Linked DNA regions of Diceros bicornis minor. The protein of the gene in region 1 binds, or shares a complex with, the protein of each later gene. Links are inferred from orthologs where the notes say so. Each region holds a gene or a part of one and is shown on either strand. Other genes may lie near its edges. The genes, in order: RIMS2 and UNC13A.

What was found.
Region 2: the proteins of RIMS2 (region 1) and UNC13A are in contact, whole or in part, in a crystal structure (PDB 2CJS), measured with the Rattus norvegicus proteins. The link is inferred for Diceros bicornis minor from reciprocal best matches to the Homo sapiens genes RIMS2 and UNC13A. Residues at the interface, in XP_063118965.1 of Rattus norvegicus: Asp102, Gly103, Cys104, Ser109, Gln112, Val123, Leu125, Ser127, Asn128, Lys129, Val134, Met135, Trp136; in NP_074052.2 of Rattus norvegicus: Tyr23, Ile36, Trp65, Leu69, Ile70, Trp71, Asp72, Thr73, Met74.

The regions. Positions count from the first base shown.
Region 1 is NC_080760.1:21,613,968-21,628,918, forward strand, and holds the start of RIMS2 (regulating synaptic membrane exocytosis protein 2), read left to right. Parts: upstream 1-7,387; 5' UTR 7,388-7,804; coding exon 7,805-7,980; intron 7,981-14,951. UniProt on the Homo sapiens protein: Rab effector involved in exocytosis. May act as scaffold protein. Plays a role in dendrite formation by melanocytes.
Region 2 is NC_080759.1:5,532,488-5,547,806, reverse strand, and holds the start of UNC13A (protein unc-13 homolog A), read left to right. Parts: upstream 1-9,615; coding exon 9,616-9,622; intron 9,623-9,768; coding exon 9,769-9,784; intron 9,785-10,223; coding exon 10,224-10,351; intron 10,352-13,795; coding exon 13,796-13,825; intron 13,826-14,457; coding exon 14,458-14,557; intron 14,558-15,319. UniProt on the Homo sapiens protein: Plays a role in vesicle maturation during exocytosis as a target of the diacylglycerol second messenger pathway.

The DNA.
Region 1 (14,951 bases):
TCCTAGTTTAATGAAAGGCAGCCAGAGTGGAAGTTAGAGACTCTTATTCTCTTCCTAAAAACTTGTATTATGAAGAATTTTTTACTACCTTCCATGGCCAGTTTTGCCTCATTCATACCCCCATCCATATTGTTTTGAAGCAAATCTCAGATATCACATAATTTCATCCATAGGTATTTCGGTATGTATAACCAAGGATTCTTTATTTTTTAACATCATCACTATATCATTATTAATCTAAAAAACCCCAATAATTCCCTATTATCATCAAGTACCTAGTTACTGTCCACATTTCCAATTCTCTTATAAAAGTTTTTTCCAGTTTGTTTTTCTTTAAATCAAGGTCCAAATGAGGTCTACCAATCCTTGCACTTAGTTGATGTCTTTTAAGTTTCATTTAAATTATAGATTCTCCCTCCATCTCTTTATTTTTTCCTTGCAATACATTTGCTGAAAAAACTGGGTTTTGTCCTGTAGAATGTTCTGTAGAGTGTTCCACATATTGCAATCCTATGGTACAGTTTAATATGTTCCTCTGTTCTCAGTATTTCCTGTAAATTGTAGGTGGATCTAGAAGATGTTCAAATTCAGGTTTGATTTTTTTTCTTTTTTTGGCAAGACAACGTCACAAGTTGTGTTGTGTTCTTCCATCGGAAGCACATAATGCCAGGTTGATTATCTTTTATGATGTTAGCAGCTATTGCTATTTAATTGATATTTAATGCCTAGATCTATTTGTTCATTATGGGTTTTTAATTTATTTCTGATCTCATAAAAGTCACTTTTTTTTTTACTTCTGTAAGTGGTCAGAGTTGTAATTAAGACGAAGATGTAATTAAGGAAATAGTAACATTGTTATGTCTATATGTCCCAACCTCTAATATTGTCCTATTTCACTTTAAAGATGTGCTCATTGATTGCTAGGAGGGAACAAAAAATAGAAATAACTTTATAATGCTATAAATGAAAGATGACTAGAATATGGTTTTCCCGGATCCTTTTAATATAAATGGCTCTATGGTTTTTATGACATAATAATTAAAAAATAACATCCTATATTGCTAAATACACAAAAAATAATTAATAAAACTTATCTACACTAACATCCACTACATTTTTCATTACTTCTTGGCCTCAAATCCCAATAATTAAACTGTACTAATCTCTAGCTTCTTTTCTAGAAACAAACAATGTATTCTTTCTCTGAGGCTGTGCTCTTCTGTTATCACTAATGTAACACTGTTATTTTAATTTAAAATGACAGTACAGTCCTATAATCATAGCTAAGCACTTTGAGTTACTTTTCCACTTACACTGAATAACTTTTGATACACCAGTCATATTCTTCCACCCTGGTCAAGCAATAACATGCTGTCATCTGACAACTGGCAAAGATTAACAGTCAGCTGTGGCCACTGCACTGACTGACTCACCCAGGGATTTAAACCATGACCTTGGCCTCATTATCATGCTGTTATAATCTACTGAGAAAAAGAGCCAGAAAAATAAAATATGAAGACAGGAAGTAAAAAATTCTGCTATTTGTGTCTCCAAGCCTAAAGTACTGCACATCTGTGTCCTTTCAGTAATTCTATTAGCGGGTGTTTTAGATATGGATGGGGAACTAAAGGCAGAATATTCTCCTGAAAATCAAAGCTGATCATGTCAGTTCTCTGGCTAAGAAAACCTCCACTGGCTGTCTAATGACTGTAGGCCAAGTTCAAATTCTTCAGCAAAACATATAAGGTTGTAGCATAATCTTGCCACAACCTATTTCTCCAGGTTTATCTCTTGCTACAACTCCCTTCCTCCTTCTCTTCATACTCCAATAATGGTGATTTTTTTCATTATTTTGTGACTGCTCATGTAATTGTGCAGTGTATATTTATTGAGTCCCTATAATATACAAGACATATGGCCTAGGGGATAGGCCTTGGGGAAACTGGAGTGAAAGGCATATTTCTGGCCCTTAAAGGATTCATGGTCTAGTTGAAGAGACAGACAAGGAAATGAATGGCTACACCACTGTGTGACAAGTGCTATCTGTGAGCAAGGTATGTGCAGTGCTAAGAGAGCCTGGGGCAAACAGGTGGAAGGAGGAGAAAGGGAGGGATGAGCATATGGTGGAGAAGACAAAGAAGTTAGCTGACTGAGAGGAAGGTTATGGGAGAGTGAGTAGAAAAGGTGAGTCAAGCTGAGGGAATAGAAAGTCACAGAGATGAGAAACCACACATCCAGTAAAGTGCAAGTAGGTTGTCATGGCTGAAGAGAGAGATGTGATGGTAGGCTGGGTTGGAGATAAGGCTACAGAGGTAGGCAGGAGCTGAATCCTAAAGGAACCTATATCCCTTGACAAAGAGTTTAGATCTCACTTCTCTGCACCTGTGCTTCCCTCTTTTGAGAACGCTTTTTCCTTTTCTCCCGCCCAACTTAAACCAATAATGATGACAAATTCTCTCCCCAGAAATTCATTGAACAAGTATTTGTTGGAACACCTACTATGTGCCATGTACTGTCCTAGGTGCTTGGGATACATTAGCAGAAATCCTGCTCTATGTGCTTATATTCTAGTAGGGTGAAGTTGATGAGTAATAATAAACATAGTAGGTTGGGATATTATTCAACTTGGAGTAAAAGTAAAGTTGTCAGAGAGTGGCAAGTGCAAGGGAAAAAAGAAAAAGTAGGGTAAGGTAAAGGATGTCGGAGTGATCATGGAGTGGGTGGGGCAGGCTGGAGTATTAAATAGGAGGGATAACTGAGCAAAAATTTGAAGGAATATCCAAGTGAATATCTTAGTGAAGAGTGTTCTAGGCAGAGGAAACAGCTAGAGGAAATCCTAAAAGAAAGTAGTAAGAGATGAGGTCAGAGAGATCATGTGAGACTTGTAGGTCATTTAAGGAGGTTAGTTCTGACTGAGTGAAATGGGTAATCACTACAGGATTTTGACCAGTGGAGTGGTATGATCTGACTAATGTTTTAGGAGGCTTGATCTTTACGTTGTGCTGAGAAAAGACTGTAGAGCCACAATGAAAGAAGCGGGGAGATCTGTTGCGAGCAACCATAGAAATGCCAACTATCTATGTATATTCATGTGCAGTAGGAGAGTTGCAATGATTCCAAGCATTGTGAGGCAGCCAGATATCTCAGAAGAGTATTGAGTCCTCAGTAAATTCTAGTGATGTGATTATTTTAGTTTAGATATGTCTCCTATAACGTATTTAGTTGATTACAATTAAGTAGCCCTTACTTACATGTAAAAATGAAAGCCCACAGACTCACAGGCTTCACAAACTTGTGTTCCTATAGAAACTGAAGAAAGGACTCACATTTTGGAATTACTTTGTGGCCTGTCAAGAAGACCTTGAGAATTCAGTGATGAAGATGGCCAGTTACTTTTAAAGTTAAATAAGGACAATGCAGTTTCAACTCAACTTTAAACGTGTTCATGTATTTGAGGTACATACCCAAGTAAAACAATGCCACACAGAATACAGTGAGATGTGATAAACATTTTAGGTAAAATGCTAAACCAGAAAAAACAAAACAAAACACCTCTAAGATTCATATTGTAGTAAAATCAAAAGATAGAGATCTTTTGAAGATATTTCACTTTAGTTCTGAGCATACTATAGAGCATAGCAATGCTCAATCAGAGCATTGGTTATCTTACGTTAAATTGGGCCTACTACATCGAAAAGTAGCCCATTTAAAATTCTGTGTGATATATATTCTATCTATAGGATACATAAATACTGTGGCAAATTTTTATTTTGAAAAAGTGTATGAATCAGGATGGAAGGTGAATTTAAGATACTTCCACTCCCCAGGCTGGCCGGGCGGTGTAGTGGTTAAGTTCATGCGCTCCACTTTGGTGACCTGGGGTTCGCAGGTTTGGATCGCAGGCGTGGATAACGCACCACTCATCAAGCCATGCTGTGGCGGGTCCAATATACAAAAATAGAGGAAGATGGGCACAGATGTTAGCTCACAGCTAATCTTCGTCACCAAAAAGAGGAAGATTGACAGAGGTTAGCTCAGGACCAAGCTTCCTCACACACACACAAAAAGATACTTCCACTCCTAAAGATTCCCTTTAATAGGAAAAACATGTAGTTGTAGTAAAGAAATGTAAAAAGGAAACACAGTAAGAGTAAGCTCACTCACTTCTGCTTCAATCCTGTAAGAAGTCTGATGTTCCAGTGCTCCCGGCTCATGCACATTGTATTTCATATGCTGGGGCTATCTCCGGGGAGGTGAGAGGCAGTGGGAGTGCCAGGAGACAGAGCCATAGACACCCAGCATGCTATGCAACTGGTAGAAAACAGTGCAGGGTCCAGGACGTGACTCTCCACTGTAAAAGAAGCCAAAATTGTCCACTTTGGACAACCACTTTTAAGTTCACATTTTATGTATGTACTCAAAAGAACTAAGCTATTTTAAACTCAGAGTTTTAGCTTCAGAGTAATGTGTGTATTCTGGCTTCTGTTTTTGCCTGAGTTGATAGTTGGCTGGGGGGTGGAGGTGGTGTTACTTCTTCAAATCTGGCTCAGGAATAGTTGAATAAGTTAGAGTGTTCCACCCATCCTTTTTGATTATTTTTAGTTCTGCTCTCCTCTCTTTTAAAGGAGCTCTTAGTGTATTTTAGTAGCACTAAAATAGTAGTAGTAGGGTTTCCTAGGCTAAAGTCTCAGATACATGTATTTACTGGTACCTGTCATTGCACATGAGTGGAAAGGAAAATGTGGATATTATTAGAAAACTCAACATTTCAATTTTAGATAAAAAAAATTCAGTCTCTCTAGAAGTGTTCTTTTTGCTTGTTTTCGACTTCCCAGTTTCTCTTCCATTATCTATTTTGCAGTGCACATAGTGTAGTTCTCAACCTTTGCTATACATTAGTCACTTGGAGAACTTTCAAAACATACCCACCACCAGGGTCTTAACCCCAGAGATTGATTCATTTGATCTAGGATCAGACCCAGGTGATATTTTTAAAAAGTGACCCAGGTAATTTTAATGTGCAGCCAGGGTTGAAAACCGCCATGGTTTCAAATTGGAGTCAAATTATCTAGGTTCTAGTTGCAGTGCTGCCATTTACCAGCTGGCTGATCTTAGTCCTCAATTTCCCATAGAGTGATGAGGTTAGATAAGAGATCTATAAAAATTCTCTAACTCTAAATCAAAATGAAATATATTGGGATTCATATGATCTCATCTAGTTTGCTCAGCTCCAAAGAGATGAAAACCAAATTATTTGGAGTATGTGAGTTTGGTTTGAACCAGGCGAGTAATAATAACACCACAAAATAATAAAAAGAGCTCTTAGGCAAACTTTTCCCTCTTCCCTCTTACCAATTACAAGGTATGGGAGAAAAGAATAGAAATTTAAGCTTAGAAATCACAAGGGGCTTGTAGGGCTGCCTTGTGTGTCCCCAGCTCTCTCACATTGGGAGCTAGTCAGATGGTACCTGGGGAACAGACGGAGGACGGAGAGAGCTTACTACACACCAAAAAGGTAAACATAATACAAACCCCAAAGGCCTTAATCAGGCCATAATCTGGCTTGGTACTAAACAGCGCGAGTGTGGAATGCGGGGTAGGGATGTGTACATATATGTACACACACACACCAACTCTTGTCATCCCCTGCGCTTGCCGAGAGCGCCCAGAAGAGGGGGTGATCCCTGGCGAACAGCCCCCAGCCCGGTCCACTCAGGCCTCGCCTCTACCCTGCCCCGCCCCCACCCGGAGGGATGTCTGGGCGGCGCTCAGCCCCACCGCGAGCAGAAGGCGGCGGCGGCCACTGCCGTTCCCCGGGAGCTGATTTTCCGTCTACCCTCGACCTCTTTCACCGAACCCATCTCTGTGCTTGGAAAACCAGACTCCGACTCTAACCCGATCTCCTCGCTTTTTCTGCTTCTTTATGGACTAGGCCCGCCATAAAGGGTCAAAAGGACCGAAGCCCTTAGCCCAAGCGCCGGCTCATCCTCACTCTCCGAATGATCCTTAGTCCTTGCACCCTCACAGCCTCTTGTCTCCTCCTCATCCTCACACTTCACTCAGACAAACCCTAATTCCCCCAATCTCACCTCCCCACTTCTCCACGCTCTCCTACGTGCTCCCCTCGGTCCCTTTCTGCACATTCTTTCCCAACAGTCCTCGGTTTTCCAGAACTTCCACAGCCCGGTGCCCCACGTCCCCTGCCGCCGCGCAGTGTCCCAGGTCCTCCATATCACTTGCTTTCCCCATTTGCTAGACCTCCCTCTCCCTCCTCTCAGGTAACCCTTTGTGCCCCGCCCCCCATCCCTGGGGACCCCCCTCTCTCCACACTCACGCTCTGCCTCCTTCCAGGACCCCGCCCACGACACCTCGGGAGCCCGTCAACGCGCTCACTCTTTCATCCCCGTGCCCAGATGTCCCCAGATTGTTCCCTCCTTTCCAAAATCCCCGGCGCCCCCAATCCCCGGTCACAACCCATCTCCGGACCTGACACTCTCCCCCCAACCCCCCCCCCCCGCTCCCACTCCTTTACCTCCCGACCTGACCCACAGGGCACTCCCGTCTACCCTGGCTCACAGTCGTTCCCCGCTGCCGACTCCTCGGGCGCCCCTCACACGCTCACATTCTCCACACCCCCGCCCTTGAAAACTCGCCGCCCCCCTCCCCCCTCACACTCTTCCCTCCAACCCCTCCCCGCCTGGCCCCACCCCACAGATCGCGCCCGGGAGGGGCAGTCGCCGCCCGCGGGGCGCCCGCCGTGCCCGGGCCTGGGCAGCCGGGAGGTGACGCGGCCCCCGCGGGAGGAGCCCAGGAGGCGGAGGAGGCGCGGGCGGCGGCACCGAGCGGCGGCGGCGTACGGCGTGAGCCCTGGGCGCCGACTCCACGGACCCAAGGGGCGGCGGCGGCTGAGGGACCCCGGGCGGGCGCCTGATGAGGAGGGACCAGCGCCCGACCCTGCTACGCGTCGGAGCTCGCTTGCTCGTTGGCAGCCGAGGGGCCCTGGCCTCGGGACTCTCCGCCGCTGCCCCTTGTCATCCCTTCTCCGCTTTCGCTTCTCCTCTCTAGCTCGGAGGGATCTCTAGGGGCCGGCCTGGGCTCCGCGGCCGTCTCCCCTCGGTTTCTGGAGGGGTCCTCCTCCGCGGCGCCTGGGAGCCCTGTGACGCGTCAGCCGGCGGGACGGCTGAGCTGCTTCTCCGGGAAATTAGCCCCTGCCTCCTCACTTCCCTCTCCGCTCCTGCCTCGGCGCCCCTCCAGCTCGTGGGACGCTGCCTCCGGGCGCTTAGAGCGAGTTCCCGGGACTCCCCCCGGGGGCCGGTTCGCAGCTACCCCTCTCCCATCCCAGGCGGCGCGCGTATCCCCCGCCCCCGCCGCGGCCGGACACACTCGCGCTTCGGCCGGCGCGCCGCCCTCCAGCCCGCTCCCTTCAGTCACCCCACCCTTAGCGGGCCGCGCCACCTTACTCCACCACCCTCCCCCGCTGCTCCGCGCACTCCGCATCCCGGCCCGGCCTCCTGCTCTCCCCCGCCCCCCTAAACCGCTCACTTGCCAGCCCGTCGCCCCCGGGAAGAAGAAACATTTCCCGGAGCGCACTCTTCAGCCCTCCCTCCCCCCGTGCTCGCCTTCCCCTCCCCCCGGTCTTTCTTTCTTGGGGGAGGGGGGCTGTCGCCTCGGATTGAAGGCCATTGATTTGTATGTATTTGTCCCAGCGCCGGAGGCTGCCCCAGCCGCCCGCGCGGGTGCCGCTGCCGCCGCCGCCCGTGGAGTTGCCTCTCTGCTTCCCTAGCGTGGTTAGGCTCCACCAAACATGTCGGCTCCAGTCGGGCCGCGGGGTCGCCCGGCTCCCACCCCGGCGCCCTCTCAGCCGCCTCTGCAGCCCGAGATGCCCGACCTCAGCCACCTCACGGAGGAGGAAAGGAAAATCATCCTGGCCGTCATGGATCGGCAGAAGAAAGAAGAGGAGAAGGAGCAGTCGGTGCTCAAGTAAGGACCCGGCTCCATCTTCCCGCTTCCCTCCCTGCCCTCCGCCCCCTCGGCCGCTGCCGGCCGCCTGCGCGCCCCGGATCGCCGCCCTCCCTCCCACCGGCGGCGCCTGGGCCACGAGGGCTGCGGCCGGCGGCGGCCGCCGGGGCTGCTTTCTGGGTGTCACAGCGCGGAGGTGTGTGTCGGGGAGGGAGGGCGCCCAGGCCGGCTGAGGTGAGGGTTGAGAGCCTTTGGGCGTTGTAATTTTCCCGGGCGTCCTTCTGGCTTGCCCGGCAGGCCAGTTCGGCTCTGGGGCCGGGTGGGGCTGGGGCTGAACCCAGGCTCAGCGCGTCCTTTCTCCTTTCCCGCCGCCCCCGCGCGGAGCAGTGACTGGGGCAATGAATCCAATATGGCCGTGCACAGGTGCTCCCAGCCCGGGACCTGGCGGAGGCGCGCCGGCCAGGGATGCGGGCGCCGCCGGGGGCCCCTCGTCCCGCGCCTCCGCAGGGCGACTCTGCCCGCGACGCGGAGAAGAGCAGAGCTGCCCACGGTCGCCGCGGGCAGGAGGGCGGCGGTGCGGGCAGGGGCCTAAGCTCTGTCGCGTCTGGGGTGGGTGTGAGGCCGCCGCCATCTTCCAGCCCCTCCCCCTCGGCGGGTTCTAACACCCTGCACTCTTGCTGCTCTTGCTGTTTGCAACTAGTAAATCTGTTTAATCCTGAAGAGACTGTGAAGAGACTCCAGTTCCTACCATTACTGCCGTTGGGGATGCTTCCTACCCTGTGAAGTTCTACTATTCGCGCTCCTAGTCTAGGCAGCCAGGATTTTGCCCAGGGTGGGAGGGTGAAAGCAGCGCCCAGGCAGCGGTTTAGCGGCCGTGTAACTTCAGCACCAGGGAACTGTCCAAACGGATATCTGTAGCTCGGAGACTCCTTGTCAGTTTAGCAGAGATTTGTTTCTGCAGGTTTGCTTTTAAATGTTTTATAGTTATTTGATTTCTCAGTTACTATGTGAAAGAGATTGTGCAGATGTGTAACTTTTTTGTGTTTTTCCAACTCAACTTTTTTTTTTACTTGAAATGAATTAGTCGCTAAGAGATTACCTTGTCCCGTTTGTATGCCAAAGATGGGACGGTTCTTTTGTGTGTTATAAAATATACTTTTCCTATATTCTCCACAGAAACACACAATTGAAAGTGTAGAGTTCCTCTCTGAAGGAACTAACACACTGATATCTTATCATGTAAATTTTAAAAACAGGTTGTTGAATTCAGTATTCTTTAATGCACTTATAAAGAAACGGTTCTCTGTCTCTCTATATTTTCATAGTCTAATGAAAAATACTACTTTAAGTAATTTATTATAGGTGTATCAAATATCTGTACATATTTGAGAGAAATACTGTTTCTCAAAAAATATTGAGGGACTAGAACAAATGTATTCTGACATATTAACTGAAATAAAAAAGAATTGCTTCTTCAAAGCTAATTTCTGAGTTTGAATACTTGTTTGGGAATGTGATTTATTAGTAGGCTTGGGAAATGAAAAAAGGTTAAGAGATTTAAGTAGCTTATTTCAACTAATGGAAGAATAAAGCATTATCTTTAAAAGCTTTTTGAGCATACTCCTAACTTTGCTTAACTTTACTATATATGCTAACAATGCCAAGCTTTTGATGACTTAGAGTTTGGTAATTAGATATATGAATCCGTATTTTTTACTGTAATTGCTGTAAAATTAGTGTTGCCAAAATGAAGCTCAAATAAAATGTAGTTTTATTTCTTTGACCCATGTGTGTATTTAAATATACAATGTGTTTTTCTTCATAATATGCTAAATCGTGGTATTTATTGGCTAGTTCACTATAGTTCCAAATCTATTTATTGTTCTAATATATAGAAATTTAAATGAACTTTTAAGTATTGAATTAAGAATTACTCAAAATGAACAGTATATTAATATAGGAAAATGTTGTGGAAGGGATTTTCAGGTAGCTACATGTGCATATATTACATTTCTATGTAAACCTACATACTATGCAAATACGTATAATGTTTGTGTGTTCATATTTGCACAGTTTAGGTAGAAACAGACATTCTCTAAACATATATTCATACAGTTTATGAAATTACATTGATGAAAAATCTATTCATATTTATTTTAAATATTTATTTGTATTCTACCTAACTTAGTCTTGGAAGGGTTTATACCTCAAAATGGCCTGCATGGTTTCAGAATTATTTTTATATTCATTTAAAAAGAAGTGATTTGGAGGTTAAAGCATGATATATTTGAAAATTTAATTTTGAACATTCTTTAAAAATTCTTTTGGCTTTTGTAATAAGATAGGAGTAGGCAAGGAAAATGAGGAACAGAATAGACTTTATAATGGAATTATAATAGCGACAAATCCTTTTGAAGAATTTGACAATTTATTAAGTAATATATTATCAATATTGGGTATTAAGTTACAAATACTATATGTAAGAAAAAAATAGTACTAGTATTCTTCAATGATTATTATTTCCCATCAAGTTTTAGGGCCCATTTATCTGGTCCTGACTACACTATCTTTTGTTTCTCTTTAGTGATGTACATTTAATTGCATGTTAACATCTATTCTGAGAGAAGGTCATAGGCAGAGAGAAATAAAGTGAAATTCAAATTCATGTCTCCTGCCTTTTAACAACTACTTTAAAAGAGAAATTTGATGTATGAAAAAATGAAGCTGTGGGACGAAAATATTTTTGCATGATCTGTGAGTTTCAATATTTATATCAAGTATTCATAAAAAGTGGAATATGCATGCCTAAGGGCATCAAAGATGATATATTGGAGTACAGGAAGAAAATATTAAAACTTATATTTACATTTCTATTTTTATTTGAAAAAGAAAGAAATTAAGGTTTACTGATACTTAATATATAGATTGACAATATTCAGATGCATTTAATTTATAAATAAATATGCATATATTAAGAGGTTCATGCCTGAGATACTTTTAATGAGATAGGTGAGCCAGCAAAACAGATTGAGACTGCTACAGTAATCTTTCTCTTTAGGAGCCTGAATAATTAAAAACTATTTATATTTAATTATTAGCAATTTCTTCAAAGCCTAGCTGAACATCCACATACCCAGGAAATCTTCTGTCACCATCAAATAATACCATTTTACATGTGAGTGAGATACTAGAATTTTGGAAGCATTTCTATATCTCAGTAGGTCCCTCAATAGATCAGTAATTACTTTTTTTATCCTTACATTAATTCCTTTAACAGTTTTAGTTTGGATAACTCAGTCTATCAGTAAAATCTATAATGTCCTTTTACTGATTAATGTTTTTAAGCTTTGTCTTTCAAGACTGTAAGCTTCTTGAGGGCAAGAATAAAAATGTACTCTTCTTTAGTGTTTGTGTTTTGCAGCATCCTTAACACCTGCACACAGTGGGGGGTACCTAATAAGTGATGTTGGTTTGACTTCTGGTAATGTTAATAATGTAGTAATCAATTTTGTTGGAAAAATGAAGAATAATTTTTTTGAAAGAAAAGCATAATTTTTTAAAAGTTTATATTTTCCAGTGAGGGTTTTTTTTTGGGGGGGCGGTGTGGTATTGTGAAAAAAATGTATGCGGAAACCAAACCCACTGAAATCAATAGAAAAATATTAATTCAGTAAATATTTATTGAATTTCTACTGTGTGCATATCATAGTCTTTTAGATGAGGTGTTTTTGTAACAAATTAGAACTTATGTGTTTCTTGACATGTAAATTATCTTTTCATTCTCAGCTTAGACTTTCTGTAAATGTCAAAGGCATGATTTGATCTCCAAATAAAGGAAGACAACAAATAAAAATTTCTGTGATAGATCAAGGTAATAATTTAGCTTATATTTAAAAGATAGGTGAGCAGTTCTAAATTTTTTTTACTAACTTAATTTTAAAAGTACTTTCCACAGTCAATTTATAAACATCTTTATTGAATAGGTAATATGTAAATATGGTACAAAATTTCTTAGCTACCTGTTTCCCATAGCCAGGGGCAGCTGCTGTTGCCAATTTATTGTATACTCTTCCAGAAATATTTTATGCATAAGAGTAAGTATAGGTGTATATCAGATATTGTGTGTGTCTTTATATGTGTGTATGTGTGTGCATGTACATGTATGGGTGTATATGTGTAAACATAAAAAACACAAGTGTGTCCTGCAGTTTACTTTTTAGGAGGTCAGTTCCATACTCGTTAATATATTTCTGCCTCATGTATTTTAATGGCTGCATAATATCCTATATTATGAATGTTCTTTGTTTAACTAGTACCATATTTTGGGGCATTTAAGTTGATTCTAATTATTTTGCCATTAGAAACAATACTGTGATAAATATCTTTGTACCTATATCATTTCCTGCATGTGTGAATATACCCCTGAGATAAATTCCTAGAAATGGAATTGTTTGGTCAAAAGGTCAGTATATTTTAAATTTTAATAAATATTGAGAAATTTACTTTCATAGAGGAAGTATGCATAAGTGATATATACTAGGGAGACTTTGTCACATCCTTGGTGTGTGATAATCTTTGCCAATATATTGGTGAAAAATATGCCATTGTAGATTTAATTGCAATTTTCTTATTATCAGTGAGGTTGAGAGCTTTTTACATTTGTTTAGAGCCTTTTGAATTTCTTTTTCTATTGGTCATTTTTAATGATTTGTAGGAGCTCTTTATATGTCATTTGTTTTATAACCTTGTTTATGCCTTTTTTTACTGGGCAGGATTTTTTAAAAATGTATGAATTTATTTTTGTTTTACGGTGTTAGGGTTTGCAGTATACTTAGAATGATCCTCCTTATTCTAATATATAAAAAACTACTGCCTTTTCTTCTTATAGCCAAATGAAATTTTAAGAATGTGGCACATCAGATAAATGATGCAATTTAATCATGAAAACTTTTAAATAAAAATCATTATTGTGCATATAAATTACCATGGCCATTGCCAAAAATTGAAAACCTATAGTTTTTAGGGATTCAAAATGCATTCTAAAAAATTGATTGGCATTTTATGAGAAGGTACCTAATAAATTCTTTATATATAGTTTATATTTTAAAGTAACTAGGACAATTAAATAATATCTTTTTGTTGAAAATATATATTGATAAAGAACTAATTATACTGTATGAGGAAGAGAGAGGTAGTGGAGGCAAGTGTGGTGGACCAGATGGATTTTGACTTGAAATCTTACTTTACTAATTAATAACTGTAAGGTCTTGCTTACATTATTAAACTCTCTGAGCCCATGTTTCCTCATCTATGTTATCTGAGTAAGAACACCTACTTTGAAGGATTATTGTGATCAATATAGACTGTTTAAATGTCTTGGCACAAGTGGGTGTGCAATAAATAGTTGTTATTAACTGGTTATAGACAGCAGTCTCTTAATCTTAATATTATCATAGCATTCCTGGGTGAAATCTTCTCTGTTTTATATATATATATTTTGTGTGTGTGTGTGAAGAAGATTAGCTCTGAGCTAACATCTATTGCCAATCCTCCTCTTTTTGCTGAGGAAGATTGGCCCTGGGTAACACCCGTGCCCATCTTCTTCTACTTTATATGTGGGACGCCTGCTACAGCATGGCTTGATAGCGGTGCATAGGTCCGTGACCAGGTCCAAACTTGCGAACCCCTGACAGTGGAAATGGAGTGCTCAAACTTAACCACTACGCCACCAGGCTGGCCCTGCTCTCTCTTTTTTTTAATTGAGAGATTCTTTTCCTTGTCTACTAGGAAGTCAAAATATACCTGGAGGACTTTTCAGTGACTTCACTTTTTATCTAGAAGGCTAGGGATGGGGAAAAGGAATGTGACAAATTGGAAGCAGTTTCCTCAGCAAAAACCATTCTTAGGGAGTCTGATAACTAAGGTGTAGCAGTGAAAATAATACTGACACCGTATTATTGGTTATTGCTAAGATCTTGATTGTTGTAGGTGAATGTGAGGGAACTAATTTGTGGAAATTACTCTGTGATTTTCCTTAGATTGGCCAGGAAACAATTTTTTACTCTTAATAAATCAAAATATGTATTTACTTATTTGTCTTATTCATATTGTATCTGAGAACTCAGAGAATCTTATTAGGTTAATCCAATTCTGAAGTGTGATTATTAGAGCTTAGAATGCTCATCACCTTTACATTGCCCTAAAATACACGCAACCTTTGTATCACTGCCTCTTTCTCATCCTTCTGGCCTTAGCTTCAAATTTGCTTCCTTAGAGAGCTCTTTCCTGACCACACTTTCTTTAGTAGGTTTTCTCCTTTATTCTTTATCACAACATCTTTAATATTGTCCCAATTATACTTATCTAAATGTGCAGTGATTTCTTTATTTGTTTATGGGCTGTCTACTCTGCTGGATTATAAATTCCCAGAGAGCAGACACCATGTCTGTCTTGTTCACTCTTTCAGCCTCAGCTTCTCATCTAATACAGTGCCTTACACATAATAGTACTTAAAAATATTAGTTGGGTGAGTGAATGAAACATTGGGAATAAAACACTATGTTTATTTGGATAGTGCTTGCTTTCAAGATGAAATTCAATAATCTAAAAGAAAAAGATTTGCTTAGGTAATAGTGTCCTTATTTTTGAAATCAAATATAGTTTTTAAACTTATGTCCAATTTTGCTTGTTTTTCTAGAAACAAGCTTGTAGTATTTGTGTGTGATTGCAACTCATCTTTCTTTTGGACTAAGAGCATATCTGTTTTTACTAGAAACCAGAAGAATATTGTGATATATCATTTTTCAATTTAAAAGATATTACAAATTAAGGAATGTTTTGCTTTAAAAAATATTACTTTCAAAGCATTTGCAAATTTTCAATGTGTTTAACAGAGCTGAATAGTAAGGAATGTATAGAATGTTTGGACAGAAATAATTCAGTTCCACCAGGGGCAGACAGTCTAAGGCCAACCATAATCATATGAACACAAA
Region 2 (15,319 bases), on another chromosome or scaffold:
ATCTGCAGATATAATTACTGGATTTACAAATGGTCAAGAAAACTCGTTAGATGCTAGAGCCAATTACATTCTATGCTCCTGCAACTAACAGGTAAAATAAATGTAATCTTAAAACAGGCCATTTATCTGTAGCATCAAATGTACAAAGCACCTATAAATAAATGTAAAACAGAAAGATGTGCAAGGTTTTTATGGAGAAAGTTGTGAGCTTTATTGAAAGATAAGTAAATGGGAAGAGGCATTGTATTTGACCTTTGGAAGAGTCAATGTCACAGAAGATGCTGATTCTCCCTATTTGGTTTATAAATTCAATGAAATTCCAATCAAAGTCCCAACCAGTTTTCTCCATGCAACCCAACAAGCTGAGAAAAATGCAAAGAATAACCCAGATGCTCCTGAAGAAGGAGAACAAGATGGGGTGACTGGCATTATTGGCAGACATCGAAGGTAAAGCTCCATCACGGGGATAAATGTCCCCGGCACGGGAAAGAGCCAGAGCAGACCCTGGGGGCAGACACCCTGCAGCATCGTGTACATTCTGGTTGATCTGAGCCCGTTATTAAGTCCACACAGGTACGAAAACCTGCTTTGTGACAGTTTCATTAAAGGGTATTGGAATAATTGATTGTCCACATGGAAAATATGCAATTGGCCCTTATCTCACTCCACACTCCCAAATCAGTTCCAAGAGGGGCCAAGATTTGACTGTAAATGACAAAAATATAAAACTGTAGCAGATGCTATGAGCATGTCTTTATGATGCTGGCGCAGGGAAGAATTCCTTACACAAGACACAGTGTGTGTCCATCACAAGAAAAAAAATTGTGTAACTATGTATGATGATGGATGTCAACTAGACTTATGTGGTGATCATTACACAATATATACAAATATTGAATCATTATGTTGTACATGTGAAACTAATATAATGCTGTATGTCAATTATATCTCAATTTAAAAAAAGACACTGTACATACTGCAAAGGAAAAGATTGACCAAGTTGAAGAATTTTAAATTAAATCCCCAGTGGCAGAAAGTAGATTAGTGGTGGCCAGGGGCTGGGGGAGGGGGATAGGGAGTGACTGTTAATGGGTGCTAGGTCTCCTTTTGGGGTGATGGAATGTTCTGGAACTACATAGAGGTGGTGGTTGCACAACATTGTGAATGTACTAAGTGCCACTGAATTGTTCACTTTAAATGGTTAAAATGGTATATTTTGTTATGTGTATTATATGGCAGTAAAAAAAGGAATTTAAAATTAAGAGCTTCCTAGGGGCTGGCCCAGTGGCGTAGCAGTTTGGTTGGCGTGCTCCGCTTTGGTGGCCGGGCGTTCACAGGTTCAGATCCCGGGCGCAGACCAACGCACCGCTTGTCAAGCCATGCTGTGGTGGCGTCCCACATAAAGTAGAGGAAGATGGGCACAGATGTTAGCCCAGGGCCAATCTTCCTCAGCAAAAAGAGGAGGATTGGCAACAGATGTTAGCTCAGGGCTGATATTCCTCACAAAAAAAAAAAAAAAGAGAGCTTCCTAAATACTCTGCTCCAGGAAGTGGAGCATAATTCCCTCCCCTTGACGGTGGGCTGGACTTAGTGATTTGCTGACAAAGAACAGAGTAGGGAAAGGGAAAAATAATAACTTGACAGTGGATAAACTTGGTAGACAGCACCTTACCCAGGTGATCAAAGTTAACGCCCCCTGTGATGTCATGTGGGCAACAGGGACCTCTGATGTGATATGACCGGAAGGGAACCCCATCTCTGTGATATTCCCCCCAAACCCCAGAACCCCAGTCTAATAATGAGAAAACAATTAGCTGAACCAGAATCAAGGGACTGTCTACAAATACCTGACCAGTACTCTTGAAAAGCATCAAGGTCATGACAAACAGGAAAGGCCTTACTCACAGATAGGAAGCGACCAAGGAGATAAGATGGCTAACTGCGATGTGGGATCCTGAGCTAGATCCTGGAAGGGGGAGAACATTGGTGGAAAGGCTAGTGAGATATGCAGTCTGCAATTCCGTTACTAAGGTGTCAGTGTCTGGGTTTTCATTTTGACATGTAACCACACACAAGATGTTAACATTAGGGAAGCTGGGTGAGGGGTATAGAGGAACTCTCTGTCCCTGTCACAGCTCTGTACCTCTGCAACTTTTCTGTATGTCGAAAATTTTCCCCAAATAAAAAGTTTATTTAAAAAAATAAGAGCCTCCATTCAGAAAAGGACACCATAAATAGAATCAAAACAAGCCACAAAACTGGAGATTTTTACAACACACGAAACCAACAAAGGATTCATATCTAACATGGATGAAGAACTACGAATCCATTAGGAAAAGACAGTCAAATTTTAAAAAATGAATAAAAGACTTGAACAGGCATTTCACCCTATGAAGAAATCAATAATCACATAAAAAGTTCCACCTCATGAACAATCAGAGAGCAAATCAAAACCAAAATGTGGCACTGTTTCACCCCTCCACTTTGGCACAAATCAAAAACCTGGACAATTCAAAGTGTTGGCAAGGCTGTGGAACAAAGGAGCTCTTATGTGGTGCTGGACACTGTGAACTGCTGGAACCACACGGAAACTATACATATATGTGTATATTTACACATATATGGAGGAGGACTGGCTCAATGAGCAGTGTAGGTCCAAGCCCAGGATCCGAACCTGCAAACCCCCGGTCGCTGAAGTGGAGCACTCTGAACTTAACCACTGTGCCACCGGGATGGCCCCGAAAAACAATTTGGTGTTATCTTGTGTGGCTGAGCAGGTGGCTGCCCTATGATCCAGCCATCCTTACCTGTGTGCACCAGCCTGCACTTCTGAGAATGGTCATAAAAGCTTCATTTGTGATAAACTCAAAGTGTAAACAATCTTAAGGTCCACCAACTGGAGAACAGATAAATAATCACTGGTGTACTCATTCAGAGGAATACTATACAGCAGTGAAAAATGCATATATTACAGCTGCCCACAGAAACTCAGATGAATATCAGCAGAATCATGTTGAGCAAACAAAACAGGTCAGTAAAGAATGTGAACATTTTATTTTACTCACATAAAGTTCAAAAACACAAAAAACCAAACCATGTATTGTTTGCTGATAAATAATATGGGGTAAAACTCTAAGGAAAATTAAGGGATTAAAAAACACAATCTGGGGTAGCTCTTCTTTCTGAGGGGAGGGACAAAGAGATAGGGGAGAGGCCCACGGGTTTCTGCTGCAACGGTGATGTTCTTTATTCAAGCCTGTCATTGCTGCTCCTTAGTCCTTACCTATAGCTAGTCGATAAGCAAGAAACACAAAATCAGTGAGAGTTACAACAATGGTTAACATTATTCATTACTATTCCAAGCAATTTCAGGTGTCAACTTACATAATCTCTCCTGTAACTCTGTAAGGCAAGTCCTGTTATCGTCCTCATTCTACAGAGAGGGAAACTGAGGCACAGTGGTCACATGACTTGTCCAAGGTCATGCTGGTGACTAGAAGCAGAACTGGGTTTTGAACACAGGCCTCACTTGCAACTACTCCCTGTACATTCCGTGTTTATGCACCTCCTTCCTGTGTGCTGGGGGCGGCAGCTCTGCAGGGCTCAGCCTCTGGCGCTGCTCTAGGCACTGGAGATACACCGTCCACAGGTTTGCAGGGCGCTGTCCCACATGGCACTGCCCAGCTGGATACGTGGAGAAGGCTCGGAGCAGAGCTGTGTCGGGGGGAGTCGGGGCCAGACCAGAGGAAGGGCTGGGGCCTGGGGGAATCCAGAAGGTAGAGTAAAGGCTCAGTGTGAGAGAGTCAGGGAAGGCTTCCTGGAGCAGGGAATGTTCAAACTGGGCATTGATGGATGAATAGGACTTTGCCAGTTACATAAGGGAGCGAAGGATGGGACCCAGTCTGAGTGTGTGCAAAGATTCACAGGCTGAATGGCTTGGAGAGAGTGAAACAGAGACACAGAGACCTAGAAAGGACGTGGCAGAGACACAGAGAGACTGGACAGAGAGAGGCTCAGAGGGAGACACATGACTGAGAGACCGGGAGACAAAGAGTCAGAGGAACAGAGAGACCCAGGGAGAGAAAGAGACAGAGGAACAGAGGCAAAGAGACAGACGCAGACATAGAGACAGAGGAATAGAGATATCAGGGAGAGCAGAGAGGCAGCAAAGGACTCGAGAGCCGGAGGGCCCGCAGAGCGACTCGAGGAGAGACGAGAACACGCAGAACCAGAAGGGAACGTGCGTGGAGGCTGCTTTCCGTCCCTCCGGGCGGGGAGCGCCCCCCCAGCCTGCGGCGCCCCCGCCCCATCAGGCGTCCCTGGGCTCCGCCCGCCGGCCCCACAGCAGCGCCACGTCAGGAGCTGTCCGCGCCCCGGTGCTGAACCAAGATGGCCGGCGGCGGAGGCCGGGCCCCGGCGTGAGCCGAGCGCGGGCTGCAGCCCCGGCCATGACCCAGCCCAGCGCCCGCTGAGCCCGACCTGACAGAGCCGGCCCGCCGGCGACTCCGGAAACATGTCTCTGCTTTGCGTTGGAGGTAGGAGGCAAGGCTGCGGGGCGGGGTACCGAGGGAATCCGAATTGGGCTCGCGGTCCGTGTGGATGCGGCTGGGCTCCTGAGGGGGTGACCCGAGTACACTCGGCTGGACATTTGAGGCGGTAGCCCTGGTAGACGAGTCAGGGCGCCTGAGGGGGTGATCCGTGTAGACGCAGCTGGGCTCTCAGGGGGTCCTGGTGGCTGCTGCCGGGGGTCGTGTGGGCATGGCTAAACGCGGAGGCCCGTGTGGACGCCAGAAGGGATCTGGGGCTCGATCTGGAAACCGTCTAGACTGGGGCATTTGTGTAGACCAGGTTATTAGCAGGTCTCTGAGGAAGGGGCTGGGCTGGGCTGGGTAGTTCGAATGAATCCTGCAAGGTACTCGGAAGGAGTCCTGTGCTGTGGGTCCTCATGGACGCGGACGGGGCTTGGAATTCAAAGAGGAGTGCCGGGGGAGGGGTCTCCAAGCCGCAAGCGTATACGATTTGGGTAAGGGGGCTTGGCCATCTGGGCAAACGCGAGCTCTAGGAATCCCCCAGCCCTGGGTGTGGAGAGGACTGGCAAGGGGCTGAGGAGACCCCTCCCTACGTCCTGAGAGGGCGGTGATTGGCGGTCTGGGGGCGATTTTCCGGTTAGCTCTTTGACTTCCCGAGTGGGGGCTGGGGGACCCGCCCGAGGCCTACCCTCCCCGCCCCCTCTAGCACGCCGCACCGCGTATCCGGCCTTCTCCGCAGGGAGCCGACCGCTTGGCGGCGCAGTGCCCCCTGCACCCCTCCCGGCCCATCCTCACCTCACCCACTTTGCGCCGAAGGGAGGGGGGAGAGGTGGGGTGGAGCTATTTTGGGGCCAGAACGCCATCTGCACCGAGGCCCACGCCCAGGCCCACGCTCTGCGTTGGGGTGGGGGGAGGGAGAGAGACTCTGGAGGGGCATGACCATGGGGGTGGGCATCACCCCCACCTCTGAGGCTGGGCTGGGGGAGAAGCCAGCCCACCAGGACCCAGGCGTCCCGGGCCCTCCTGCCGAAACGCAGGCTCTGGGAGACCTTGGGCGGCAGGGTGGTGGCGAACAGATAGTTAAGGCTTGTAGCGATCTCAACCTTGGGTTTTAAGGACTAAGGTCCGCCCCTCTCACTCCTACTCCCTTCAAGAAGGCTGGGAGTGGGGGGGTGGGAGGGGAAGAGGTGTGCCCGCCAAGCCTGAGATTTCAAGCTTCGGGAGACCTCAGGCAGCGGGAGTGTGCTGTGTGTGTGTGAGCGACAAAGCTGAACCCCGGGCTCCGCCTGGACCAGGGTGGGCACGCCCCGGAGCCGGGCACCGCCCCCGCCGCCCCTCCCCCTCCTTCCCCTCCCCCTCCGCCTCTCCATTCACAAACCCAGCCCCGCCCGCCCGCTCCTCGCCGCCGCAGCTTTCCGGGTGCAGATCGCGCCGCGCTGGGCCGGCGTGGACGCGGGTGTTCTTAAAGGGATAGGGGCCTCCTTTCCCTGAGCTCATTCCCGACGGGCGGGGCTGGTGGTGGGAGAAGGGCCGGAAAGATCAAATGTCAATTCTTCCAGCCCCTGGCCTATGGAGTTAGGGGAGGAGGGAGGTGGAGGGTTAGACTAGGCCTAAGGGGAGGGGAGGGGAACGTCCAAGCCCCCTATTGGCCTCTCTTTCTCCTCTAAGTTGCCCAGCGCTTGGGGGGTAGCATGGAAGAGGGGGCCAGTGTGGTTGTTCCTGGCTGATTCCTCCACCCCCTGGAAGGTTTGCTCAGTGAGGAGGGGGAATCTCACCCTTAACTCTGACGCAAACAGGAGGCTGGGCTTCGGGGGTGTTGTGAAGGGGGGTGGTAAGAAGGGCAAGGCTTCCAGAAACAGAGGCCTGAGGGAAGAATTGTATTGGATGCCTCTGTGGAACTTGCAGGGAAGGAGTCCCCAGCAGAGTGGAGGGGGTTCCTGAGAGGGAGAGGCTGGAGCTGAGGTGGGGAGTAAAGCCCTGAGGTGTGAGGGGAGCAGTACAATGCTGGCAGAGGCTGAGGGGGAAGCACTGGGAGGGGTGGGGGTGATGCCCAGAGGGGGAGAATGGGAGGGGAGAGGGGAGGGGCAGCAGTGGAGCTAGGCTGGAGGGGGCTTTCCATGGATCTGAGCTCATCCTTGGGGTTGAGGAAATACCTGGCCCCCGAAGCAGGGGCCCACCCACTTTGCCTGTCCCTGCACACACGTGGGCTGGCACATTCATACCCAGACTCGCCCTGTGCAGACAGAAATGCTTAGGATCCACCAAGGCTCCATGAAGACCACGTGCCTGTGACTACACATGCCTGTGGGAACACACACATACACGTATACAGGACGCAGTCTGCCACCACAGATGTGGCTTCTGCAATGCAAGCGTGTGTGTCTGCACGTGCACACACAAGGATGTAACACATGTGTTTGATGTGTTCACGATATCCACGTCACATAAAGATCTGCTCATGCAGGGGCCGGCCCGGTGGCGCAAGCGGTTAAGTGTGCGCCCTCCGCGGCGGCCTGGGGTTCACCGGTTTGGATCCCGGGCACGCACCGATGCACTGCTTGTCAAGCCATGCTGTGGCGGCGTCCCATATAAAGTGGAGGAAGATGGGCACGGATGTTAGCCCAGGGCCAGTCTTCCTCAGGAAAAAAAAAAAAGAGGAGGATTGGCAGATGTTAGCACAGGGCTGATCTCCTCACCAAAAAAAAAAAAAAAAAAAAAAAAAAGATCTGCTCATGCCCTAACTTGCAGGCATGTACCCATGTATACCTGTTAGGGCTCCAAATGCAGAAACACGCATGTGCACAGAAACCCCTGCTGAGGCACGTGTGTGTACACACAACAACACTTGCCTGGACATTTGGAGCAGCCCCTTGGAGCAGGCAAATGGTGATGCACACAGACACATGCTAATGTACATAGTCTCACATGAGCATGTACATGTATGCAAGTAAACAAATACACATGCCATACAACTGCATAGCACACACATATACATACCCCAAAGTGTGTTTCTGCCTAACACATCACCCGCAAGCCCACACATACCATGCCAGCGTGTCCCACACACAGTCACACCCCACTCCCCCGCGCACGTGTGCAGAGCCTTGCCTGCTCTCAGATGGTGCTCATGAGCACATGTCCCTCCACACAGGCACACCCCCATGTCCACACACATGCCTGCCCTGGTAAGAGGAGCAAATACACATGTGAGTGCACACAAAAGCAGGCTCTTGCGTGCGTGCCCTGCAACAACACATGGAAGCCCACCATGTACAGGCCTTCTCTCTTCCCCCACTTGTTTCTTTATCTCGGTGGAGTTCCATTGCTGACCGGCCCCCATCCACTCGCTAGGTCTTGGCAGAGTTCTGAGGCTGCAAATGCCAAGCACCACCTGGTTCCTTCATGAGTTCATTTGTATATTTACTCAGTAAGCATTAGTTGAGCACCTACTATGTGCCAGGCACTGTACCTGACTCTGGGAAGCCTGACCACTCCTGGGCTTATGCTGGTGGGTCAGAGTGGGAGGGGCAAGGAAGGGCTGGGGAGCCAGGGAGGGGCCGTACAGAGCCTTCCCTGTTCCGCACCACCACCACCATTTGCCTGGGTCTCAGAAGATGAGGGGGAGCTAAGCAGAAAGGAGATGGTTGTCTAGGTGGAGGGAAATGTGTGAAAAATCGTGGTGGTGGAGATTCAGTTCTAGACATTTCTATGTGCCTCACAGCATTTTGCCAGGTCACTCAATGTTTTAAAGGCCCCAGAAATATTTGATAAATGGATATTGCATGCAAATTAGTGATTGCATGTGAGAGTGAGTTTGCCCCACAACTAATAATAATATCAACAACAACCCCCACTTATCCTTCATTCTACAGGCACAGTGTTGAGGGCTTTTAGGCTCATTGCTCTCTTTAATTCTCACAGCAACCCATTTTACAGGTGAAAAAAACTGAGGCTCAGAGAGATTCAACAACTTGCCTGGTGCCACAGAGCCAGAGGTGTATCTGCCTGGCTTCACAACCTACTGGGAGTGGGGAGTGAAAGTGGAGCGTCCTCTCACCCCCAGGACCTGGGAGACACCCAAGTCCCTTCCGGGGGCTGAGAATCTGTCCTGGGATCACCTTACTTCATCCACTCAGTAAACAAACATGTCATGATCTCCCCACTCATCATGGCTGTTCCCCTGCTCCTCTCCCCCTTCACAAATCCCTCTGTCCTGACTGCCCCGCTTCTGATACCACTCAGTCAGTGGGGTGTGCATCTGGGTCTTTGGTCTCACCATCCTCATAGGATGCCCTGCAGGGTTGGCTCTGATTCATCTTCAGGGCAGCAATCTTAGCTGCTTCCATAACATGAACCCCACTTTCCTCCCACATACAGTGGACTTCCTCTGTGAGGTTGCAACCACGACATCCTCAGTCCAGCAGGTCCGGATTTGAATCCCTAAATCCACCACTTCCTGGCAAGTCCCATACCCTCTTCATTCCTCAGTGTGTCCATCTCTAGAATGGGCACATGCATAGCACCTACTGCCTAGGTTTGCTGGAACTGTCCAGTGAGATGAGGCACGCAGAGCCGTTGGCACGATGCCTGCTCTGTGGAAAAGTTCAATAAGTGTGAGCCAAAGACAGGAAAAATCAATGATGATGTTTTTATTAATGGGGACTAAAAGCTTTCTGGAAGGAGATCCGTGGGTGTAGAACATTTCCTGGGAGCTCACTGTGTTCTCAAGCCTGAGGAGGGCTCAGTAGTACACAGGGGGCGGAGGGGGGGCGCACAAAAGAGGTGCCAAGTTCACTGGAGGAACACGGGCAGGGACGGAGAGTTCAGCACCGCGGACAGCGCAGGGAAGGCGATTACAGGACCGCGGACAGCGCCTGCGCCTCGGGGTCTGGGTCTCAGGGCAGGGCTGCTGCAGGAGGACATGACGCCATTCCGTCAGTGAACGCTATTTGTGAGCACCTACTATGTGCCAAGCCTAGTTCTAAGTGGTGCTTGGTAGACAACAGAGACAGACACCCCTGTCGAGGAGCTTGGCGTGTTTGTTTCTCACACAGAGGCTTCATGTGGGCTGTGGCTCATTTTGCCCATGGACCGTGAGATGCATCTCCCTCAGACGCAAAGCCCGGGGCCAATGTCTTTATCACAAAGGCATGCCCGCCATCGACATCACATAGGAAACTACCAAGCGTCCTAGAATCTGTGTCTGAATTCTCTATGCTTCCCCCCCTCCCCCTTGTAGTGTCTTCTGACACTCAGTGAGCGTGTCCTGCAGGGGGCTTTCGGACTGCTTCCCTTGATGGCGGGATCCTCTACTCCCCCACCCCCACCCCGGCCTGGCAGGCCACCGGCCAGGTGCTCCCGGATTGGAGCCCACCTCAGTTAGAGTCCAGGGCAGGCCAGGCTAGGGGCGCACTGAGAAACCAACCAAATAATAAAAACGATAGTGACACTAGTCATGTTAAGGGTAATAATAATCGTAGTAATGATAGTGTAATAACGAAGATGCCAATAATGAGAAGATGAAAGGGGAGAGGGAGAAAGAGAAAGGAAGAAGAGGGGAGGCGGAAGGGGAGGAGAGGGAAGTGAAACCGATGAGCCCTACCTCGCCCCATTTCCCGGATGCAGAAACTGAGACCCAGAGCGTGGCGGAGCCTGAGTCCCTGCTCCCGCCTCCACCGGTTCTGCCCTTGCCAGCATCTGCATCTGCCTGTGCAACCATGTTAATCACGCAGCGCTGACGGGGGCCCGGGAACGGCGGAGGCCGCGCAGGCTGCTGACCGGGCGTGACGTGGCGTCTCCTGGCGCCCGTCAGAGAGCCGGCGGTGGGTGCCTCCCCCAGCCGCACTCCCCGCCGTCGCATCGGCCACGCCCTCCGCGCCCACGTTATAAAGAGTCTCGTTATAAATAGCTTCCTGCGTGTGACCAGGAGCTCGCCGGGAGGGGTGGCGCTTCCGCCCCGGTGACCCCGATACTGCAACCCGCCGTGAGCGGGGGAAGGTGGCAGGGCGGGGATGTGATGACGAAGGTGGTGAAGGCGACAGTGACAGGGTTCTGCTTACTGACGGGGAAGAGAGAGGAAGAGAGACTAGGTCCTTTCTCTGAGCCCCATGGGCCCCTCCCTGAGCCCCCTCCTTCCTCCAAGCTCTCTCCTCCCTGGACCCCTCCCCTGAGACCACCTGCCCCTCTGTGCCCTCTCCCTTGTTGCGTCCGCTCCCCCACCCTGAGCCTACTCCGCCCTCAGAGCTCCCTTCTCTTAGTCCCGCCCCTCCTCCCCCATCCCCCATCCCCCATACCCCACGGTGAGCTCCCTACCCCCCTGAGATCTCCTCCCCACTCTGAGCCCCCTTCCCTGATTCCCCACACCTCTCTGGACCCCCTCTCTCACCCTGTGTCTCCCCCTCCTCCCTGTGAGTCCTCGATGATGAACATACCTTGGTCTCCTTACCCTGGACTCCCTGAAGTGTCCTGAGGACCTGAGCCTGGCCTCAGCTGTTAGAGCTAGGGCCCTCCAGCAACCCCCACTGCCGGTGGACCCCAACAAGCCCATTACCCTCTGGCTCACGGAGGCTTAGGGAGGAGGAAAGGGGGTAGACGGAGGGAGTGGGGACCAGAGAGACAGAGATAGAGGGAGAAGGGAAGGAGAGACAGAAAGACAATGACAGAGTGGAGAGAAACAACTGGAAGGAGGGAGACAGGGAGACCCTCCCTCCAGAGGAGAGGATGGAGGACAGTCCTTGGTGGACTGGCTGTCCCTCTCAGCCCTGTCTCTGGTCTGTAAAAAGGGAACGCAGAGCAGGAGCTGCAGGGTGGGGCCCACTCCTCGGATCCCCCCAGGGCCTGGCACCTACCGCCCTCAGGGTCCCCCTTCAACTTTTCTCTCCTACTTCTGCCTCTCGTGTCCGCAGTGTCTCCCCTGCCTGGAAATCTGTGTTTCTCTCTCTTCTGTCTCTCTGTGTCTCTGACTCTCATGTCTTGTTATCCCCTATCCCCCTACTTCTTCCTCCCTCCTTTTCACTTCTCTCCCCATGTTGGTCCCTCTGTGTGTGTGCCTTTCAGCCTCTGTCTGTGTCTCTCCCTCCTGCTGGGCACAGTCCTAAGTGCTCCAGGGGTGAGGGGCTGGGGGGTGAGCTCCCTGTGTGCTGGGTGGGGCTGAGGGTATGAGAAAGGGTCAGTGGGACAGAGGCTGAGCATATGTCCAGAGAGGGGCCTTTGCACAAGTAGTCATGTACCTTGAGTGGGAAAGTGAGGAAGACAGGACATGGTGACAGATTTTGGGTGTGGGGGAAAGAAACAGAGGGGAGAGAGAGAGACAGAGAGACAGAGAGAGAGAGAGAGAGAGAGAGAGAGAGAGAAGGCCAGACCTAGAAAAACAGGGAGAGATAGAGACAGAGATGGAATAAGGCAGAGATGGAAGCCCAGAGAGGGAGGTTCACTTGCCCGCAGTCACACAGCACCATAAGTGGAACTCAGCTCCACCTGACCGCACGCTGAACCCGTGCCCACCTCTCCAGTGCCCAGCCAGGGCTCCATCTGCGTCCCACTTCCCGAATCCAGACCCAAGTGTGAAGGGCGTGATGCCCAGTCCATTTGCATTTACGGGTCTTTTCGGGGGAGGTTGGTGTTGGCATCGTAAGGTGCTTGTTCCCTCTCCTGCTCTGAAACTTTGGGGAGCTCACTCAGTGCTTCTGGGCATCAACCCCACTCACTCCCACACGTGCACATGCACACTGCCTGTCTGTGCTGGGAACAAACAGTATTTACTGACAAGTGTTTAGAGTCCGCCCCCCGCCGCTTCCCCGATGTGATGGGAATTCTCTCATCGTGGGCTCCATTCAGGTGCTTTTTCGAGACAGAAAGTCAAGTGATGGAGGCCGAGATGCCAGCTGGAGATGGGAGGCCGAAGCATTTGCCCAGAAAAAGACCAAACTTGACTCTCAAAAGAGAAAAAAGAACAGAAACACAGTTCTGTTTCTAGGAATTTATCTTTCAACTCACTTGCACACACTCTTCAAGACATACTGAGAAACAAAGCTTCTCAGAGGGCACAGGAGGCTGTCCTTTGTGCAGGAAATGGAATCCCGTGCCTGTGCGCGTGACTGCCGAGGCCCGGGCTGTCTCCCCAGGTCCACAGGGGCTGGTCGTGTGGCCGCGAGGGAGGGTGGGCGCTGGCGTGGAATGAGCCTTATTATTGTATCATCTTTGCCTGCTTTGGATTTTATAAAATGTGCATGTATTGCCTATGCAAATGAAAATATTCATTTGAAAAGGGAAAAGGGAAAGAAATTCGGAGAGCTGGAGAAGAGGGTTCTGTTGGGAGCACGCTTTGGTTGGGGGTTGAGAGGGAATGGTGGAGAGAGACGTTGGGTGCAGCTGCAGGGTGCCAGAGATGTTGACAGTGAAAGTTTAATATCCTGGGAGAAAAGCCAGAGGAGAATTTCTTTGAATCACCCGGGGCTGTGGGGTTATGTGAAACCTGAGAAACTGGACCGCAGGGGCCCTGAAATCTACTCGGGTTACGCTTTTCACAGGCGCGTTGGGCTAGACAAGCTCTAACCACCTCCCAGCCAGTTCTGGGATGTCTCTACGTGCACGATGGAGCCAGCTCTCTGGGCTGTTCTGTTCCACCTCGCCAGTCGCCTTTGAGCACTGGACCCCAAACCCTGGGAGCATTTGGTATGACAGAATGAGCTGGACAATTAGAGGAGAAGTCTCTCTAGCTTGACAGGGGAGTGGGGCCGTTGGAGCTTGTCCTTCTCTTCTCTGCTCCCCTCTCCTCTTCCCCAACTCCCCTCCTCCCTCTGTGCAATCCTGGAGGGCTTCCTGTGGGAGGCCTCTCCTGCCACCTGCACAGCTCCTTCTTTTGAATCTTGTTCAATTGTGGGTAAAGGCACAGCTCAGGGTGGTGGGGGGAGCTTAGGGAGTGGGGAGTCTGATGGGGAGGCGGAGGGGCAGGGACTGCTCCCAGGGTCCAAATCCCCTTCCGCCCCTAGATCTGCCTGTGCGCACCCGTCTGACTCTTCTCTCTCCCCCTCTCATCCCTGCCTCCTTCCTCTCCTTGTTGTTCCTCCTCTCCTGGTCTCTTTTCTCTGTCTCTGATTTCACCTCTGTCTTTATCTTGGTTTTTTTTTCCATTTGGTCTCTCTGTCTCTTTTGCTCTCTATCTTTGCCTTGCTCTTATCTCTGTCTCTTTCTTTCTGTGTCTCTCTCCTCCTGCCTCTCTCTCCCCACCCCCTGTCTCCCTTCCCTGTCTCTGTCTCTCTCCACAGTCAAAAAAGCCAAGTTTGATGGCGCCCAAGGTAAGTGGTGTCTATTCCTGCCCTGTCCTATGTTGTCTGTCTGTCTGTCTGTCTGACCATCTCTTGGAGAGACCGGGGAGGGGGGCTGAGCCAGTGAAGTGTCTCTACGTCTGCTGACCATCGCGGGGCGTATCAGACTTGGCCTGGGGTCCAGCAGTCTCCCTTGGCCCCCTCGGAGACCCCAGGGGGTGGGGCTCACCCTGAGCCAGTGGCCCTTCCCAGGACCCTAAGAAACAAGGTGGGGACTTTTTGATCAGGCTACATGTGGGAAAACTGAGGCTCAGAGAGGTGAGGGGAGTTTCTTATACTCAATTTTGTTCCCTTCTCTGGGGCCTCAGTCTTCCCAGCTGAAAACTAAGGCTATTGAACGTGGTCATTTTTAAGCAGCAGGATTAGGCATCGCCAAGTTCCATGCACCGAGTCCCTGCACCGAGGCCCCTCCCTGGTGCTCAGACGCTGGCAGGGGCACTGGGGGCTGGCCTTGGGGGCAGGCACAGAAGCGGAGCAGTATGTTGGACCTGGGGCGGCGCCAAGCACACGCAGCCCCTGGGGGATCACAGTGGGTCTGGAGCTTGGGACGGTGTCTGGGGGGTGCGCAACCCTTGCCCTGACCTCTGTTCTCACCACCGCAGAGAAATTCCACACGTACGTGAGCCTGAAGGTGCAGAATGTCAAGAGCACGACCGTCGCCGTGCGGGGAAGCCAGCCCAGCTGGGAGCAGGACTTCATGTTGTGAGTCCCCGGGCCAGCCCCAGCCGCACAGCCCACCCCGGCTCAGTCTGGCCCCTCGCTGGTCCGTGGGGCGGAGCCGCACAGCCAGCTGTCGTCTGAGACTCCCCTCCCTCCCCCTCGGCCCAGCGTCCAGCCGTCAGCTTTGCCTCCAAAGCTCTTCCCTTTATCTCGAGGCCCCCAGCCAAGTCCCCGCTGCCTGCCAGCCTCCACCCTGGCCTCCTGCTGACATCTGCCTCCCGCAATCTGTGCTCCTTCAGGCAGCCAGGGGCATATTTTTAAAACTGCAAATCACATCCTGTCACTCTCCAAACTTGCCCACGGCTCGTGGCTTGTCAACCTTAGAATAAAACCCACACGCCTCCCCCCAGCCACCCCTCCCAGACCCCGCCCCTGGCACCTCCTAACAGTGTCTCCCTCCATCTCTCCCAGTTCACCTGCCCCAGCCACGCCCACCTCTGCACCATTCCTCCAATAAGTCCAGCTTGTTCCTGCCCCGGGGCCTTTGCACTTGCTCCTCTCTCTCCTTCCTTCCCCCCCCCCCAACTGGCTCTTTTTTGATCTTCAGGTCTCAGCTGTGTCACCTCCTCAGGGAAGCTCTCCCTGACGGCCACCCCAAGCTGCAATTGAAGAGTAATTTCAGACCTTGCCACCAATTGTCATTTTAGTCATTTGTGTCATTTTTTGACACATTTCTGGCCCTACCCCCAGAGTGTGAGCTCCAGGAGGGTAGGGCCCAGTTGGTCTCTGTCCCCACTGTGACCT